Ovis aries: one gene and its partners. The protein of the gene in region 1 interacts with the protein of each later gene in a pairwise test. Links are inferred from orthologs where the notes say so. Each region holds a gene or a part of one and is shown on either strand. Other genes may lie near its edges.

Region 1 (4,224 bases):
GGGGATTGGGAGGGATGACTTCTCAGAAGGACAACTCAGAGTGAGAATGGAGGGGTGAAGATTGGTCCATCCCTTAATGATCCTAAAGGTGAGAGGGAAAAGGAGCACTGCCTTTGTCCATCTACCCAAGCTGAAGGGGTGGAGGTCTGCCCTCAGCCTCCCAGCTCAGGCGCAGTCCCCTCCTTCAGCTTCAGGAACTTCTCAGCTCCTGTGTCCTAAACAGCGACTGTCTCTAGGCCAGCTCAGACACATGCATCTTTCTTAAGAGGGTTGAGGAGGGAGGTTCAGTGAGGACTTTTCAGACATCCTCTCTGAGCTGCTGACTGGAAGCCCCCTGGGCTTTCCATTCCCACCTGCTTCTCAGCCTTTTCTTGCCTTCTTACCTAATAAGCTCCTTCTGGAACACTTGACACAACTGTGCCTATCTCAAACTTTGCAGCCAAGGGATAAACTAAATGGGCTGATGGTTTATCTCTAGAGAAGCAGGTGATTTTCCCCAGTGATATTTAACTTCCCTCTAGGGGCCAGCCTCTGGCATTGGATCAATGAGGCCTTCCTTCAGGCAAGACTCTGATGGCTGGGGGAAGCTGGGGAGGGGAGATACAGCTAGAGAGGCTATTGGTCCCCAGTCACTCATGGGTCTATCTTCTGAAGAGCCAGGAAGTCCATCCTGCAGTCTCAGCTTGATCACTGGAGAAGTGGAGCTTGGAACCCTCCCCTGGTCTAAGCCTGGCTCTCCCATGGCTCCCCCTGGCCCTCCAGTCCCTTCACAATGAACCCTTCCCACCCCCACTCTTCATGCTGCTCTGAGCTCTGCTTTCCAGGAAAAAAAAAAAAATGTTTCTGTTGGATCTGAAAGGCACCCGGGAGAGGAATCCAAGGAGCTAATGCTGAGGTGGGCCAGCTCAGGGGCAGGAAAATGACAGAGGGAAGGGCAGGAATGTGCTTGGAGGTAGCAAATCCATTCCCCCTCACCTCCCTGAGACCCCAGCGCTTGGGATGTTGAGAAGGATCACAGTGGCGGGGCCTGTGCCCGAACGGTCTCCTCAGCTACTTGGGGTTGTGAAGGGGGTTGCTGATGGCTGCTCCTTCCCTTGGCTGGGCTGACCACTGAGGTCAGCAACTCCGCCCTGATGAGGAGGCGGGTAGGGGCTCCAGAGAAGGGCCAACATTCCACCCAAACCTTCAGCTTTCAGCCTGACTCCCTTCCTGGTGGTTGAAGAGAAGGAGATGGGAGGCTGGTCACTGCCACTTCTTGCTGCTGGGTCCCCTCTCCACTTCCTCTGCCTCTGCTTCTCTCTGCTACCCCAGGCCTGTGTCTAGCTGTCTCTCTCTATGGGTCTACCCAGTACACATAATCCTGTCCTGAGCTGGGTTTGGCTTTGGCAGCTCCCTGGAGAAGTGAGGGGTGGGGGGTGGGGTGACGTGAGCTCCTGGGGCCAGGGCCAGGCCTGGCTCCCTCTCTGGAAAAGTCCTACCCCACCCCCCGCATAGCTGGGCAGGGGGCCGACACATGCACACACAGGCACACACAAACGCTGCAGAAACAGATACACATTTGTGGTTTTCAGTCTTTTCATGTTTTCCGTTTCTCATCTGGTGAGCCTCACTGTCCAGAGTGAAGAAAGGAGAGGTCAGACAGAACTGGCCATTCTTGGGCCCGGCTGACACTGGTCTAGACAAACCTGGGCTCCTCCCTGCCACAACTCCACACTGGCCAGTGGAGATCAAGGAGGAGTGACCTGGGCAGAACTAACCGCTTCACTAACCCCAAGAGACCTACCTCTGGGGAACAGTGGCACTGAGGGGCAGGGGGTGGGTCCAGGGCTCCAGGGCTGGCTGCAGAGTCCTTGTCTTGGGCGAGAACTCCTTGGTCCTCCTTGTGCCACTCCTGGGTCCTGGAGGCCCACCCAACAGGTGTCCTGCCTTTCTAGTCGTCAGGCTGAGCTGGATTCGGGGCACCCACTTGTAACCCTCCCAGCGTCTGTGCCCCCCAACCCAGGACGGAAGCGGATGACAGGGTTGGGGGGATGGGGGAGGAACGCATCATCCAGAAATACCGTTCCAGAGGGGAAGGGCAGGAGGTGCCCGGCGCGTGCCGGGAGCTCCTGGGTGTGTTTTCCAGTTTTATTCTGTGTAGGAATTTTGGCTGATTCTTCGTCCGAGTGATGGGGCCAGCGTTCCAAGAGATCAGAGCCCCCTCCCCAGGAATTGGACCCCAGGGACTGGAAGATCTTCCGAGGCTATAAGAACTGGGGCCGGGGTCGTGGCTGGGGCGCGACCGCGGGGCTCGGAGAACCCGGACGGCGCGGCGGCGTGGGGCGGATGGTCTAACCAGACGGGGGAGAGAGGGCGACCGGGGCCAGGGGTCCCAGGGAAGATCTGTACCTGCTCTGCGCGGCCCCGGCGGCCAGCTAACCCCTCTGCGCCCGGGCGCTCCCTCCAGGCAGCCTCGCTCCGCGGCAGCCACTGCGGCCCCTGGGCCGGGCTACGGCCGCCTCCGGCCGCGGCTCCGCCCCCGCCCCGCCCCGCCCCGCCCCGCCAGCCCGCCCGCCACGCGCCCGGCGGCAGCCCCCCGGCGGCCCCCGAATCCCCAGCCCGCCAGGGCCACCCACCCTGGGCTGCGGGCCTTGGCCGCTCCCGCCCGGCACCTGCCGACCGCTCCAGGGGGCGAGGCCGAGGAGGTCCCAGCCGGGTTCCGAGGGAGCCATCGCGCCAGGGCTGTCCCTCGACCCGGCTGGGGCTCGGGTCTCCGGGACCGCGGTCTCCCGACCGGCTCTGAGTGGGCGGTGCGAGCGCTGCGCCAGCCCGGGCGGAGCGGCCGCGAGGGGCGCCAAGGGGTTGGTGGCGCCGGTACCCGAGCGGCGTGGGCGAGCCCCGCGCCCCACATTGGGGCGTTGCTGGGCTGGGAGATGGTCAAGCCTGACCTCGATTCCACGTTGGTCAGGGCCCTCTCCATCACGCAGCCTCCCGTGCAAGCCCAGTTATCCCTGCTTCTCCTAAATTGGACTGTGAACCATGTGGTTCTGACTGCTCAGGGACCCTCTAAGCCTCGGTTTCTTCATCCATAAATGTTACCTACGGGGCGTAGCGCAAGGAATGCGCTGATTTAGGAATCAGAGGATCTGGATTTGAATCTCCCTCTGTGATCTTGGATGAATGCTTCAACCTTTCTGTGCTGCAGTTTCCTCATCTGTAAAATGGGGTTAACCTGACATACACGAATAGGCTTGGAGATATGTCTGCCTAGTTACTTAGATCAGGAAGAATACATCCCAAACTCGGAACTGGGGGCAGCAGCTGGGGAGGGGTTGGGAGAGGAAAATAAAAATATAAGCTTTCACTTTTTTACTCTGTATGCTTATATGTTTTTGAATGTTTAACCACAGGCATTATCTGTTTTTTATGGTAAAGAAATAAATAATACACGTAAAATGACAGAGTAGATAAAGTCATTATTTTTCTTGTCACCACTATTTTAAAAGTTTTATTTGCCATTTTTTCATGAACTACAGTCATGTACTGTTGGGTCTACTCTCAAGCATTTGAAAGGTTTTATTTATTTATTTTTTTCCAGTGACTTGTCAATATTTTAAAACCAGGATATTCAGTAGCAGGGTATCAGGTGTTCCCACCTAATACTTATTGAGCACTTTCTGCACTTGGTGTGGAGGGCACAGTTAGAACAGCCTCTGGCCTTAAGGAGTTGGGTCTAGTTGGAGACAGACTTGGGAGGTAAGTACTGGACTCAACAGAAGCAAATGTTGTCTCAAGAGATGAGGGAAGTGAAAACATAAAATGCTTTTAAGTATAAGTATTATATCCTTATTTGAAGTTCAATATCTATATTTTATTATAATTTATAAGTTATATAATTTATATTATAAAATTATAATTTTATTATGATTTATTATTATTTCAATAAACCCCTAAGTTTTCTCAAGACAAGGACCATTTAGGCCACTTTGTGTCATCTCTGTTTTTTCATCTTTTGTATTTCTGTTTTGGTTTTTGTATTTGTAGAGTTAATAGAAATATTTGGAATGAAACAGAACAAACAGATGAGTCCCAGGTGCCCAGGCCTGCTTTCTGACTTTTTTTTTTTTGCTTTCTGACTTTAAACTCAGGCTCACTGGGTGGTGGGTAAACTGGCAGGGAATCCCTGAGACTCCTGTTATTTTGTGGGGTGCAGGACAAGATTGCTAAAGCATTTATTTTTAAGTT
Region 2 (4,186 bases), on another chromosome or scaffold:
GGCTGTCTTTCTCTATTATTCACACTACTGCAGTAGCTACTTTCTAATCTATAAATCTGGTCATGTCGTTCTGTGTCTTCAAGCTGGTTTTCCAGTGCTTATAGGATATTCAAAATTCACTGCCACCCCAAGTAACATCTTTGCTTCCAGCCCATGGGCTTAAGGAGTTTCACCAAGCATGCTTTCACACTTTAAAGGCTTTGTTCCAGTTTTTTTTTTTTTTTTTTCCCCTCACGTGTTTGCAATCTCCCTTCCTCCCTGATCATATTCTTTTTTCTTTAAAGGCTGGTCTGAAAAACTCACAGCTTGTCACTTTCTGTTCTGGGGTCAGAGAGCATTATGTTCAAATCTCCATAACGGCCAATCACACTTCGTTAATAATTTAAAACTCTTCTGCCTCCCTATAAGTCATTCATTCTTTCATTAAATATTTATTGAACATCTGTTGGGTAACAGGCCTTCTCAGCACTGAGGGTACACCTGTGAGCAAGACTAGGTTCTTATGTAATTTATATGGAAAGTAAGAAAAATACCAAGTCATGGTGAGTCCTACCGCGACAATGTCGAGCGAGTATGATTGTTCAAGACTGCAAGGTCAGGAGGGATCACTTTTTTGAAGTACCTTTAAGCTATGATTTTGAAAGCGTCAAGCTTAGTTGGTAAAGAATCGCCTGCAATGCGGGAGACCTGGGTTCGATCCCTGGGTTGGGAAGATCCCCTGGAGAAGGGAAAGGCCACTTTCCCACTCCAGTATTCTGGCTGGAGAATTCCATGGACTATATTAGTACATGGGGTCGCAAAGAGTTGGATGCGACTGAGCGACTTTCACTTCACAAATGACACAATCAGAGGTCCAGGTCGCGGGAATAGCTGTTGCGAGCGCCCCAAGGCAGTAATGAGCTGGTGTGGCTGGAGCCGTGAGGGGGAAGGAAGGTGTGTGAAGCCGAAGGTGTGGGTCCCAGATGGATGTTTACAAAGGACGACAGGGTCACTACGTGCAGAAGGTCTGAAGGCAAGCGAGGACAGGCGCAGATTCCCACCCGGCGTGTGGGTTCCACTGCTGGCACGCGACACTTGAAACGCGCTCTCCTCTCGGAACATCTCACACCAGCTCCTTTCTCCCCGGCGGTGGCAGACGGTGACACAACCACCGTGCAGCTGTAGACTACATAACGATTCAACGCAGGTACCGGGGAAACAGCCACACGCGCGGAAGCCCAAGCTGTGAGGTGTAGCGGGTAAGCGGTCCGCGGTGCACGCGGAAGAGGCGGGTGGAGGGGCTCGTCCTAGGCCCGCCCGGCCCGAGTGCTGCGCATGCGTGCGCGCGTGCTCTCGTCGGTTAGGGCGCCGGTCCCGAGAAGAGGCGGGGCCAGGCTTCCGCGCCGGAAGAGGGTTGGCTGGGCGGGGCCGGGAGGCGGCGGTGGCGGCTGCGCGCGCGCGCGCGCGGGTGCGAACGGGGCACGCCGCGAGGGCCGGGGAGGGCCGGGCGGTGGGGACGACGGACGGCGACGATGGCCGCGGCGGCGGGCGGCGGAGGGCTGGGGACGACCACCGGCGCCGCGGGCGCAGGAGGCGCGGCGGCGGCCACGGGCCTGGCCGTTTATCGGCGGAAGGACGGGGGCCCGGCGAGCAAGTTTTGGGAGAGCCCGGAGACGGTGTCCCAGCTGGATTCGGTGCGGGTCTGGCTGGGCAAGCACTACAAGAAGGTGGGTCCGCGCGCCCGTAGGGGCCGAGGAGGCCACGCGACGGGGGCCGGGGGCGGCTGCTGGGCTCGCGGGCCTCGGGCCGCCCCTCCCCCCGCGCGCCACGAGGGACAACAAAGGCAGGCGCCGGGCCCGCCACGCCCCCGCCGCGAACTCTCGGCGCCCGCGCGCCCGCGGCTCCGCGGGCCCTCGGGGCGCCGCTCCTGGGAGCCCGGGCATCCGGGGCGAAAGCCCCTGCCCGCGCTTGTGAGGGAGCGGGTCGGGCTTCGTGACCGGGAGGTTGTGACTCTTCCTCTTTGTTAGCCGCTTTAGGTGTGTTAACAGTGGTTATTAAAACTGTCTGAGCCGAGCTGTAAGAGCCGCGGCAAGTTTTGTTTAAGAGACCAGTCTTCAAAGTCCAGTGAGGTAACCAAGGTTTTCTTAAACCTGTAGTTGATATGCTAAAGAAGGACTGTGGACCGCTGTACTCCGACGTCGGTAACTGCAGGTTAATATAATGGATCACAGTGTTCTTGGGGACTCACTAATATTGATAAAACGACGGCTTTTACTTCACAGTTCCCTCTGCTTATGTATAGTGGGAATTCGAGAGTTAATGTTGGCTTGTAGCTAATGTGAGGCTTTCCCTGAGAACCCCTTTCGTGTTAGGTCACCCCACTTCATATCACCTTCGTTTTCTTCATACTGTTTTTTTGGGATTATTTTCATTTACCTGCTTGTCTTGCCTTTGGAGTGTTAGTTGGACTGAGTCATTGGTACTGAAAGTTGTGACTTAGTCCCATTGTTTATAACAACTTTTTTAGTTTCCCCTTTATATAACTTATTTAGAAATGACTGACCCCCTTAGAAAGTGTAAGGAAGCCGACTGCCAAAAAAAAAAAAATTGCTCTCTGTGTCTCAGAATTTCCTGAACACCCTTCACAGTTCTCTAACTTCCTCCGTTGTGGACCATTGCCCTGGAGCTAGGACCTTGTTTGGCCTGTTCACTACAGTGTGCCCTGGAACATTTTTGATCCTCATTGCTTGACCCTTAGTAGTTGCTTAGTAAATATTTGTTGAATGAATGAAAAGATAAAGTAGTCTAGAAACCTACTTTAGGTTTCGGGTGTACAGTACAGTGAAACTTATCAGCCTTTGGAAGTTGTTAGGCATAGGCAGGGGTCTAAGGTTCTTCTGATACTCCACTGTGATACTTTCAGAACTCACCATTTCTTATCTCAAGTTTTGGGCTTCCCTGGTGGCTCAGTAAAGAATGCCCCTGCAGTGTGGTAGATCTGGGTTCCATCCCTGAATTGGGAAGATCCCCTGGAGGAGGGCATGGCAACCCCACTCCAGTATTCTTGCCTGGAGAATCCACATGGACAGAGGAGCCTGGCGGGCTACAGTCCATGGGGTCACAAAGAGTCTGACACGACTGAGTGACTAGGCACACAACACACACACATCAGTTTTTAGAAAGTGAGAGGTGACATATATTCTTACTTACAATATATTTTTTGGTGCTTTGACTTTATTCCCCTAGGAATTTTGGAGTCTCATTTGAGATTGTAGATTTTCCTCACTTATATGTTAAGTAGACAGTATTGTTTTTCCTTGTACATTGGTAAATTGGTCACTTTTTTTGTGTGTAAACAGTAGAGCTTATGGTAGTAGCTAAGGGAATTGAATATGCTTATATTATGAAATTATTGTTTATCACGTGCTTTTCAGGCAGTATTTTGGGTCTTAATATACCTTAATGTTTTTTAGTTAATTTTTTGGCTGCACTGGGTGTTGGTGCGCTCAGACTATCTGTCATTTCAAAGAGCCGGGGCTACTCTTCGTATGGGCTTCTCATTGCAGTGGCTTCTTTTGTTGTGGAGTACAGGCTCTAGGGTGCTCAGGGCTTCAGTAGTTGCTGCATATGGGCCTCAGAGCACAGGCTCAGTTGTTGTGGCATAGGGGCCTGGTTGCCCCACAGCATGTGGGCTCTTCCCAAACTAGGGATCAAACTGATGTCCCAGTGTTGCAAGGCGGTTTCTTAACCACTAGACCACCAGGGAAGGCCCAGGCTGGATTTTTTACCCCAGTTTTGTTGAGATATAATTGACATATAATGTTGTATTGCTCTATCAGTGTAGCTTTAACAGAGAGATACTCAGGAGGAATATTCCTTTGGATAGCAAGAAAGGGAATAGGAAGAAAGGAAGTACAGTGATAGTTATTTCTGCCTTTGCAGACTGCATCTCTTTTGGGCCAGGTTTCAGAGGGCAGCTTTAGGGTTGGATAGTCTTTCAGAGCTGGGTTTGGGTGGATGAGGAAGTGGCTGTGAGCCTGATTGCAAGAGAGGGTTGAAGCCAGTAGGCTAATGCTGGCTCCATGTCCCTGAGGCCTTGAAGACAGAGTTAACGTTATGTTTGACCTCTCAGTGTTTCATAAAACTGAAATGTATTTCTTAGGCCTGTTCAGATTCAGAATTGCATATCCTTGGACTTGATAGTCAG
Region 3 (4,117 bases), on another chromosome or scaffold:
TCAGGGGAGTGCGCCCAGCGTGCCGGCCAACTCTTCCCGACAAACTAGTGCGCTCCAGTCAGCGCTTTTCCCCAGAACCGAAGGCGGGGGCTATATTTCGTTTCTAGCTTTAAATCTCTGCGCATCTCGGGGGCTCGGAGCCCAGGGCCTCGCGAACTATTCCCCCGCGGGGGCCTGCGCGAGCCTAATATGTGTCCCCACTCGAGTCAGCGCTGCGCTCTGCGCAGTTTCTTTTCCTGTTAAGGCTTTATCTTGTTCGTGTTTTTCCTTTTCTCTCATTCTTTTATTGTTTTCGCTCTCTCTTTCTCTTGCTTTTGTGAATGGGCCGCGGTGTCTTTGTTCTGGAGAGAAGCGCCCGTGTCGCTGACTTTTGTGAACCAGAGAAGGATCTTGTAAAACCTTTTCTCCTTCATACTCCCCCCCCACACCCCTCCTCTTTTGCCCCTTTGATTAGATGTTCCCTCATCGTCAAAAAAAAAAAAATGTAATTTCGTTAGTCTGGCGGCCACTTTCTTTGAACATTAGCTCGCTTTCAGCTCCAACTTCAATTAGAAGGAGTTGATTTTGAGAGATCAACAAAAGAACCGACCAAAGCCTTATTAAAGGTCCTAAGAAGATCTCCCGGGTTCTTTGAGAAGCAGTTAAGGAAACAGTGTGCCCTCCATCATATTCTGTTACCGTATTTTATTCGGACTCCAAAGGAAAGTGTCGCTTGGGGGAGGGGAAGCACTTTGATGAGCGGCGGCCGCGGCCCCTTTTCACTCAGCGGGCTCCCCCGTCCTTCTCCGCCACCTCCTCGCCCCGCGCCCGGTGCGTTCTCGGTGCCCTACCCCGCGGCCCCGCAGCGCCGGTGCTCCCCACTGCGAAGCGCCCGGCGGCTCCTAGACTCGCCCTCACACTTACTCTGGTTCAAACTTTTCACTCCGCCTGTTGAGGTGGAGGGGAGGGGGCGGGGGGGAGATTAAGAAGAAGCGGTAGGAATTCCTCGAAAGGGGGTAAGTAAAGTCGGCCTAATATTCAGGAGGAGGTGCCATTTAAAAGAATTGCATTACTCAGCGTTGGGGCGCAAACACTTTTTTTGCGCTTTGAAAAGTCCACCCAGGTAGACGTGTTTTGAGAAGTTTGTTCGACTGGGAAATGGGCTTCGCCAGTACGAACTATCCGGGGAGATCGCTCAAGGAGGCTCCGGCGGCATGAAGGAAGGAAACTGAGGGCAGAGTCTGTGGCCACGTTTTCCACTAGATTGTCCCCTAGTAAAAGGAGCCAGTGTGAAAGACAAAGTTTTCTATCCAAACCTTTTGATTCAGAAGTACAGTGTATGTGTAAAGGGGAGGGGACGCTGGGAGCCGACATTTCAAAAGAAGCTTTCAGGATTTGCAAACACCTATCGTGGGGACTGGAAACTCCAGGAGACGTCGAAGAGCAGGTAAGTGGCCGTGCCTCCCTTGCGGGTGCGGCTCAAGGGCACTGGAGTCCTGAGGCGCCGAGGCGGGATCTGCGCGCTCGGGTCTGCTCCCGCTCTCAGCAAAGTAGCCCGGACCAGCACGAGTTGCCCGCCGCGTGCGTCTGCGGGTGATGGCCCGGTGCATGAAGACTCTGGGGCCCGCGGATGGCCCGGTGCATGAAGACTCTGGGGCCCGCGGCGTCGGGAGAGGGGCCGGAGGCCGGTTCCCCTCCAGCCCGCAGCTCCCGGCTCCTCGCGCCCATCGGGTGGCGTGCCAGAGAGCGAGGGAACCGGTTCTCCAGCACCTCGCCTCCTCTCTGCCACTCCCTCCAGGGCGCCAAAAGGGCGAGAGAAGGGCGGGGAGCCCCGGGGCAACCTCAGGGCCAGCGTTTCCCTCCGCGGCCCGGGCTCCCGCGCGGCGCTCGCCTTGCTCGTCTTGCTCTGCGCTGCGTTTGCCAGTCTAGCCCCGGAGTTAGCGCGCGACCGGGGCGGGGCGGGCGGGCGGTGAGGGCGGGGTGCAGGGGGCGGGGGAGGGCGGGGGAGCGCGGAGGTAACCCCCGGCTCGTGCTGCCATTGCCCGGCTCCCTGTCACTCAGCCCGCGCGGGGCCGGGGATTGGCAGCCTAGCCCCGTTACGCACTCACCTCGCGTTCACATACCCGGGGAGGGCAGTAGAAAGGTGATCAATCTTCATCAGGCTACATTTCCAATCACCTAAACAACCCGGCGAGACAAGCCACTCCGACAAGGTAACTCGCTTGATTTATTTAGTTTGCAAAGTGCCTCTGCAGGACTTCCCCAGCCCCCACCGCCTCCACGCTGCACGGAGTGCCACGGCAACCTCGAGCCACCTCCCAGCTCTGCCCCTCTTACCCCCACCTTCTCCTTGCGGCCCCCTCGGTGCGGTCCCGGGTGAGGCACTGTGTCGGGAGCGTGTGGGGCTTTGCAAACAAAGTGTCTGTGCAATAAAGTGAAACCTGGAAGGACACGCACAAAGCCACTAGAAAGAAAGAGAAAGGGAGGAGGGAAGTTGGGGAAAGAAAGAAATCCCGCGGCTCCCTGACCCCCCGCCCGGGCCCGCGGTAATTCCTGTGCCGCTCTGTTTTGCAGGTTGGCCGTCCAGAGGGTCTGTGTGAGGGCGAGAGGTAGATGGTGAGCGGCCCCGGCAGCTGAGGGCAGGTAAGGAGAAAGCCGCTGGCCGCCCGGGACTCTGGGAACGCGTCGTGGCTCTTGCCCCCCGCCCCCCTCAAATGGGTCCCCGCTTCCCCGGTCCCTGGCATGTGGGGGGCGGGGCTGGGAAGCCACCTGGCTCCCCTCTTGCTGAGCGGAGGACCCCGGAGCTCCGCGGCGGCCCCGCACCCCTCCCCCGCCTCCTCCGAAGTAACCCAGCTAAAGTGCTAAGTTTGAAGAAAGTCTTTGAAAACTCACCATTGCAGTCTAGCAGAGTCGCCACAGCTGAGTCCCATTCTCCCTTGGCCCCGGCTCTTTCCCTTTTGTCGCCTTCCCTGCAAACCGAGTTTTCCCGGCCCAGGCCGTGGGTCCCTGGGGAGAGAAGCGGGAGACTTCTCTAGCTCTAACTTCTTTCTTTCCCTGAACTCTTCTAGCCCGGGTCCCAGGTCTGCTTTAAGTTCCTGTGAAGCGGGCTAAAGCGACAGGTCCTCTGGGGTCTCCGTCCCACTCTTCCAGCGCTACTTCCTGACTCCTGATTGTAGCACCTCCGTTTGGGGGGCAACCTGGGGAAGCCAGGCGTCGACCTTCCTGCCCGGGGCAGCGCGAACTACGCCGCAGAGGCCTAGTTCTCTAGTCTGGATCGGGTCCTCGGGCTCTGGTTCAGCTAGTAGAATAATCCGGAAGCGCACCAGACCTATTGCACTGAGGCTTCCCAAATCCGCCAGACCCTTGGGGCGCTGGTCAGGTCACCTTTCGACCCCGGCCGGGACCCCATTGTCCGCAGCCAGGACTGGCTTGCTCTGGGGAAGCACGGCCTGCGGCTGTGGCGAGGTGCGGGTGATCCCGGGCGGCGTGTTTGAACCGCCACCTGTACGGTGGCGCCTTCTGGTCGCCTCGGCCGGACCTGGGCTCGAATCGGTGGTAGAAGTGTGGGTGGGATTCCGGGTAAGCAATCTCTCAGCGGCCAGGCACAGAGAGGTAAACTGGTAGAGCGGCTGTGGGACCCAGCCGCGGAGACTCTGGAAGGATGTACTCAGTGAGCAATGCGTCCCGGAGAGGCCCAGGTGCCGCGAGCCCTCCGCTGTGCCTCACCTTGGCTCTCTGGAGTCTACCTGTCCGTTCCACTTTCAAAAACATTTGAAACAAAACGAAACAACCCCTCATGCTCTGGGTCTCCTGCTGCCTTGAGGTCGAGGGGATGTTTGCTTGTGTGGTGTGATGCCCTCTCCCACCCGAACAGATTTTTGCCTAGTCTTGGGACCTAGCGCACTCTGCGTTTTGGGCTCTGACCTCCCAAGGTTGCCCCCGATTTTAACCTCTCCTCACTCCTAGCGTCGCCCTACGAGTGTCTGTCCCATTCCAAGCCCGAAAAGAAGTGATAATGATCCAGAAATTTTACTTTTCAAAGAATCTGTGGTCTTCGGGCTAAGGCCTTATAGAGCCGAGTTCTGCACAGATCCATAGCCTGCGTCACCTCCCCATCCTGTGACTCCTTCCTCCGGCA
Region 4 (4,154 bases), on another chromosome or scaffold:
AAGAGTTGGACATCACTTAGTGACTAAATAACAACAGTGTCATAAACATACTAGGCAGAGAGGCTCAAAATTTGTTGACTTATTTTTCCCCTGGAGTGAAATGAACAGCCCTCACCTATCTGCAAGATATCACATATTTAGCTCAAAGGTGACAAAATCGATCAATCCTCTGATGCCTCCAAATATGTAGATACATCGCTTTGTCTAGATGTTTTGGCAAGGCATAGACACAACACAATAAGCTTAGACTTTCTGTTTCTATGAGGTTTCATTTCTATGAATATTTTACATTTGATTATTGTCTTGGGCGCCCAGAATGGGAGTGACTCAATCAAACGCCTCCTCATCCATCCAAGCATTCTTTGAGAAAATTTTAAAAGAATACTAGCAACTAATTATATACCTGAACAAAATCTTTCAACTTGTGACCAAGTATACTACCCGCCCTGTTTATCTGTAAGATCTGTGCTAACTACAGATATATTTCTAACTGCTTTGTTCCCAAGCCAATCCCCTCTCCCAATAACCCACCGGTGCAAGTTCCAGACCACAGTGAACATCTGTGAATCAGTGAGGTGTTGGTTAGGATTTTATTTTTTGCTTTTAAAGGTCTTTATGGGGCTAGGAAGGAAAGTTGAGGAACACGCATGGGGATATATAGAGTCGATTGGGCTGGAATGTCTGTCAATAAGGACAGAGTGTGTCTCTTTTACCGTATTCTTGGAAAAAAGATTATGTGCGTGTTCAGATGGAGTCACTGCAGTATGGCCCGTTCCCTGACTGATTCATAAGGGGCGATCTCAGGTGTGGAGTTCCAAGCACCTGCTTGATCACACTCCGGCAGTTCAGAACCTAGCGTATTTGAGGCCGGTGGCTCAGGTTCCACTTAATTTGGCTCAGGTGTCACTAACACTATGTGCGGTGCCCGTCACTGAGTCGTACTTTGGGACTTGGATACTTACTTCAGACTTTCTTGTTTCTCCCCGCTTCCTTCCCATTAGTTTCCCTTTCGCTCCTCCGTCTCCGGGGTGCCCACTTCCTCCCTTTGCTCCCATTCTCCGCTTTCTTCTCTTTCCTTCCTACTGGGCTTCCCGTCTCTCATCCTCGGAGGGCCGCGAGGCTCGAGGCTCAGGCTCGGCTCCGAGGAGGAGGAGGCGCGAGGCCGGCGGGACAGGCGCGAGGTGCCGAGCCGCGAAAGCGCGGGGCGCGCGCCGGGGCGGGGGCGCGCGCGGGCTGGCCGCGTGGCCGGGCGGCCGGACCAGGGAGCGGCGCGCGCGCGCGTGGCCCGCGAGCCCCTGGCGCGCCCCCGGCGGCCGGGGCCGCAGCGTGCTCGCCCCCGCCGCCAGCTCGCCTCACTTATGGGTCGGAAGCGCTGCGTGGGGGAGACTGTTCCAAGATGGCGGCGGGTTGCTGCGGGGTGAAGAAGCAGAAACTGTCCAGTTCGCCCCCCTCTGGCTCGGGTGGCGGTGGTGGCGCCTCCTCCTCCTCCCACTGCAGCGGAGAGAGCCAGTGCCGAGCCGGGGAGCTGGGACTAGGAGGCGCCGGTACGCGGCTCAACGGGCTAGGAGGTCTAGCCGGAGGAGGTAGCGGCAGCGGCTGTACCCTCTCTCCCCCCCAGGGCTGCGGCGGCGGCGGCGGGGGGATCTCCCTGTCGCCCCCTCCGAGCTGCGGAGTGGGGACCCTACTTTCTACCCCGGCCGCCGCCACCTCTCCCTCGCCCTCCTTGTCGTCCGCCGCCTCGTCCTCATCGCCCGGCTCCCGGAAGATGGTGGTGTCAGCGGAGATGTGCTGCTTTTGCTTCGATGTGCTCTACTGTCACCTGTACGGATACCAGCAGCCCCGGACCCCCCGGTTCACCAACGAGCCCTAGTGAGTACCGTGCCCTCCGCCGCCCTCTCCCTTGCGCTCGGGATGGGGCTCAGAGTTGAGGCAAAGTACGAGTCCGCCTCCCCGCCGGCCGCTGCCCCTGCCCCTCTGGCTGCCCCGGGTCCCTGGAGCCACTCTCCCTGAGTACGGGCACCCCGCACTTTCTGCCCTCTGAGACAAGCGCCCCACACTTGGAGAGGGGTGCTGCTGCGAGAGATGGCTCGCTGACTCCCAGAGGTGTTCGCTTTCTCTTTGAGGTAACTTCGAGGAGTTTTGACCCTCTCCTTCGCCACCCCGGCTCCCCATCTCTGGGTTTGGGAGCTCTGGATCCCTCACGGTGTTGACCTCTCCTGGATTGGGTTTCCTTGACCCCCAGTGAAAGTCCCGCCGGTGTTCCCGCCCCGCGTACCATGCACATGGAGCGTTACTATCCCATTGCAGCGTAAAAAATAGCAACTATCCAACTTCTGCTCTGCCAGTGATGGAACTTAGCTCCGGAGCCTATGAGCTTACCCATCTTTTTCCTTTGGGTTTCCTTGTGTCCTGGGGAGGGAAGACACATGTTCCCTTAGTACCTATTTTTATCCGAACTTACCCATTAAAATGTGTTTCTAGTGAAGCGCACCGCTGGCTCTCTCACATTTAAAGAGTGAGTTTTTTTTTTTTTTTAATTCCACCGTCTGGGTAATGGCTCATTCAAAGAGAGCTGTCCCCATAGAGCCACTGTCAGTTTGTACATTACGCGTGCACTCGCTTTTGTGTCTATTTCACTTTTAAGAAACCCATGTTAGGCTTGACGATTCGGGAACTAGTTAAACAGTAAGTGTGTAGGAATTTTTATGGTTTCCTCCGGTTTTGTACTTTTATTTTACCCTTCAAGTGTGTGGTTGAAATTGTTTAAAATAAAACTGTTACAGCTAAAAGCCAGGTTAATTCTAATCCCTGTCCATTTGGATGTGTGGGAGATGGGGCATGTGTTGTTTTTCTAATGTGTACACTTGAGTGTAAACTGACTTTTTGAGTTAAATGCTCAAGACGGAATGTAAAGCCTAAGGAAGGGCAGAATGACAAAGAGGGTGATTGTTTTTCTTATGAGTACTTAGCATCAATGGGTAAAATAATAGAGAAAAATTTCAGTGAAACTTACACTGAAAAGCATCAACCCTTTTTCTGGCTAAGACAAGTGCCCCTTGTCCCCATACCGTAAGTACCTAAATTGATGTTCTTTTAAAACTGCTTCTTTTCATTTTGTGAGATTAGGGGATTAACTGCAACTGGATAGTATAAACACTCTGCCTAGTCTAAAAATATTCATTTAATATGTAAAGTGAAAATTGCAATAAAGTATCCTGGAAATTGTAAATTCGTTTTGTTTTTCTTTGGCTTTGATACTTGAAATGTATTTCATTTTGTATTTTTGCTACTTTCCTGTGGTCTGTGCATTTTCTTTCAGACCTGGTTCCTTTTTGGGCATTGGTTCATAAGAAATGCTTGAAAGAGCAGAGACTGACACTTTGTCAAATTACATATCTTGATAACTTTCATAGTTTCAATTCTAAAAGCTTAAATCCTAAACCCACACCTGTACTTAGCCAATTTGCTTTTTGGTTAGGAAGTAGAACTCATTTTGAAAAAGACTGCCATGTAAAAAAAAAAAGTCTATGAAATATTTATTAGGTTGAGTCACTTATTTGTGACTTTTCTGCCTTCTCTTGGATGTCTATGGTGTATTAAAGCCAGTCCGGGGATGATACATAGGTTGGCTCAGCAAAGTCATGGAACTGCAAAAATTCTCTCCTGTTTAGTTATATGAGTTTGGCAAAGGCTATTTTACTATTCACGCTCCATTGCTCCAAAGCATATGCGAACACACTTTCAGGAGGTGCTATTTTCACACATTTTAAAGTGAGTTTGGGTTAACTGAATGACTGTAAGAAGAATTTTAAAAGGAAAGTGAGCTTGACCAGCTCATACAGAAACTGCTTTTGAAGGTGTCATTTAAGAGTGGCTACTTTATACACATATTTAAGTATTATTCCTCTAATACCCCACCCACTGGATTTATTTCTCTTGGAATTAAACAGAAAAAATAAGACACCCTTTGACCACTGTGGATATGTTGCAACAATGGTGAAAGAATAATAACTGTTATCATTTAGCAGGCCTTGACTGTGTGTGTCATGTATTCCACCAAACAACAAATTTAGAAGAGACACTGAACATGACCAAGGGGAGAATGGAAGTTCACTTAAGTGGAAAGAGGAGTGCATCTTTATTTTCATTTATCT

The links. The genes of interacting proteins can lie anywhere in the genome.
Region 2: the proteins of ADAMTSL4 (region 1) and SMARCC1 interact in binary tests that used the Homo sapiens proteins (3 or more experiments, as listed by UniProt). The two-hybrid records come from large-scale screens. The link is inferred for Ovis aries from reciprocal best matches to the Homo sapiens genes ADAMTSL4 and SMARCC1.
Region 3: the proteins of ADAMTSL4 (region 1) and OTX1 interact in binary tests that used the Homo sapiens proteins (3 or more experiments, as listed by UniProt). The two-hybrid records come from large-scale screens. The link is inferred for Ovis aries from reciprocal best matches to the Homo sapiens genes ADAMTSL4 and OTX1.
Region 4: the proteins of ADAMTSL4 (region 1) and AMMECR1 interact in binary tests that used the Homo sapiens proteins (3 or more experiments, as listed by UniProt). The two-hybrid records come from large-scale screens. The link is inferred for Ovis aries from reciprocal best matches to the Homo sapiens genes ADAMTSL4 and AMMECR1.

Annotation. Positions count from the first base shown.
Region 1 is NC_056054.1:100,567,438-100,571,661, reverse strand, and holds the start of ADAMTSL4 (ADAMTS-like protein 4), read right to left. Parts: upstream 2,801-4,224; 5' UTR 2,616-2,800; intron 2,472-2,615; exon of another isoform or gene 2,389-2,471; intron 1,899-2,388; exon of another isoform or gene 1,784-1,898; intron 1,210-1,783; exon of another isoform or gene 976-1,209; intron 83-975; 5' UTR 1-82. UniProt on the Homo sapiens protein: Positive regulation of apoptosis. May facilitate FBN1 microfibril biogenesis.
Region 2 is NC_056072.1:51,970,300-51,974,485, forward strand, and holds the start of SMARCC1 (SWI/SNF complex subunit SMARCC1), read left to right. Parts: upstream 1-1,386; 5' UTR 1,387-1,511; coding exon 1,512-1,706; intron 1,707-4,186. UniProt on the Homo sapiens protein: Involved in transcriptional activation and repression of select genes by chromatin remodeling (alteration of DNA-nucleosome topology).
Region 3 is NC_056056.1:45,201,511-45,205,627, reverse strand, and holds the start of OTX1 (homeobox protein OTX1), read left to right. Parts: upstream 1-1,317; 5' UTR 1,318-1,426; intron 1,427-2,113; exon of another isoform or gene 2,114-2,192; intron 2,193-2,553; 5' UTR 2,554-2,622; intron 2,623-4,117. UniProt on the Homo sapiens protein: Probably plays a role in the development of the brain and the sense organs. Can bind to the BCD target sequence (BTS): 5'-TCTAATCCC-3'.
Region 4 is NC_056080.1:124,958,575-124,962,728, forward strand, and holds the start of AMMECR1 (nuclear protein AMMECR1), read left to right. Parts: upstream 1-1,354; 5' UTR 1,355-1,396; coding exon 1,397-1,869; intron 1,870-4,154.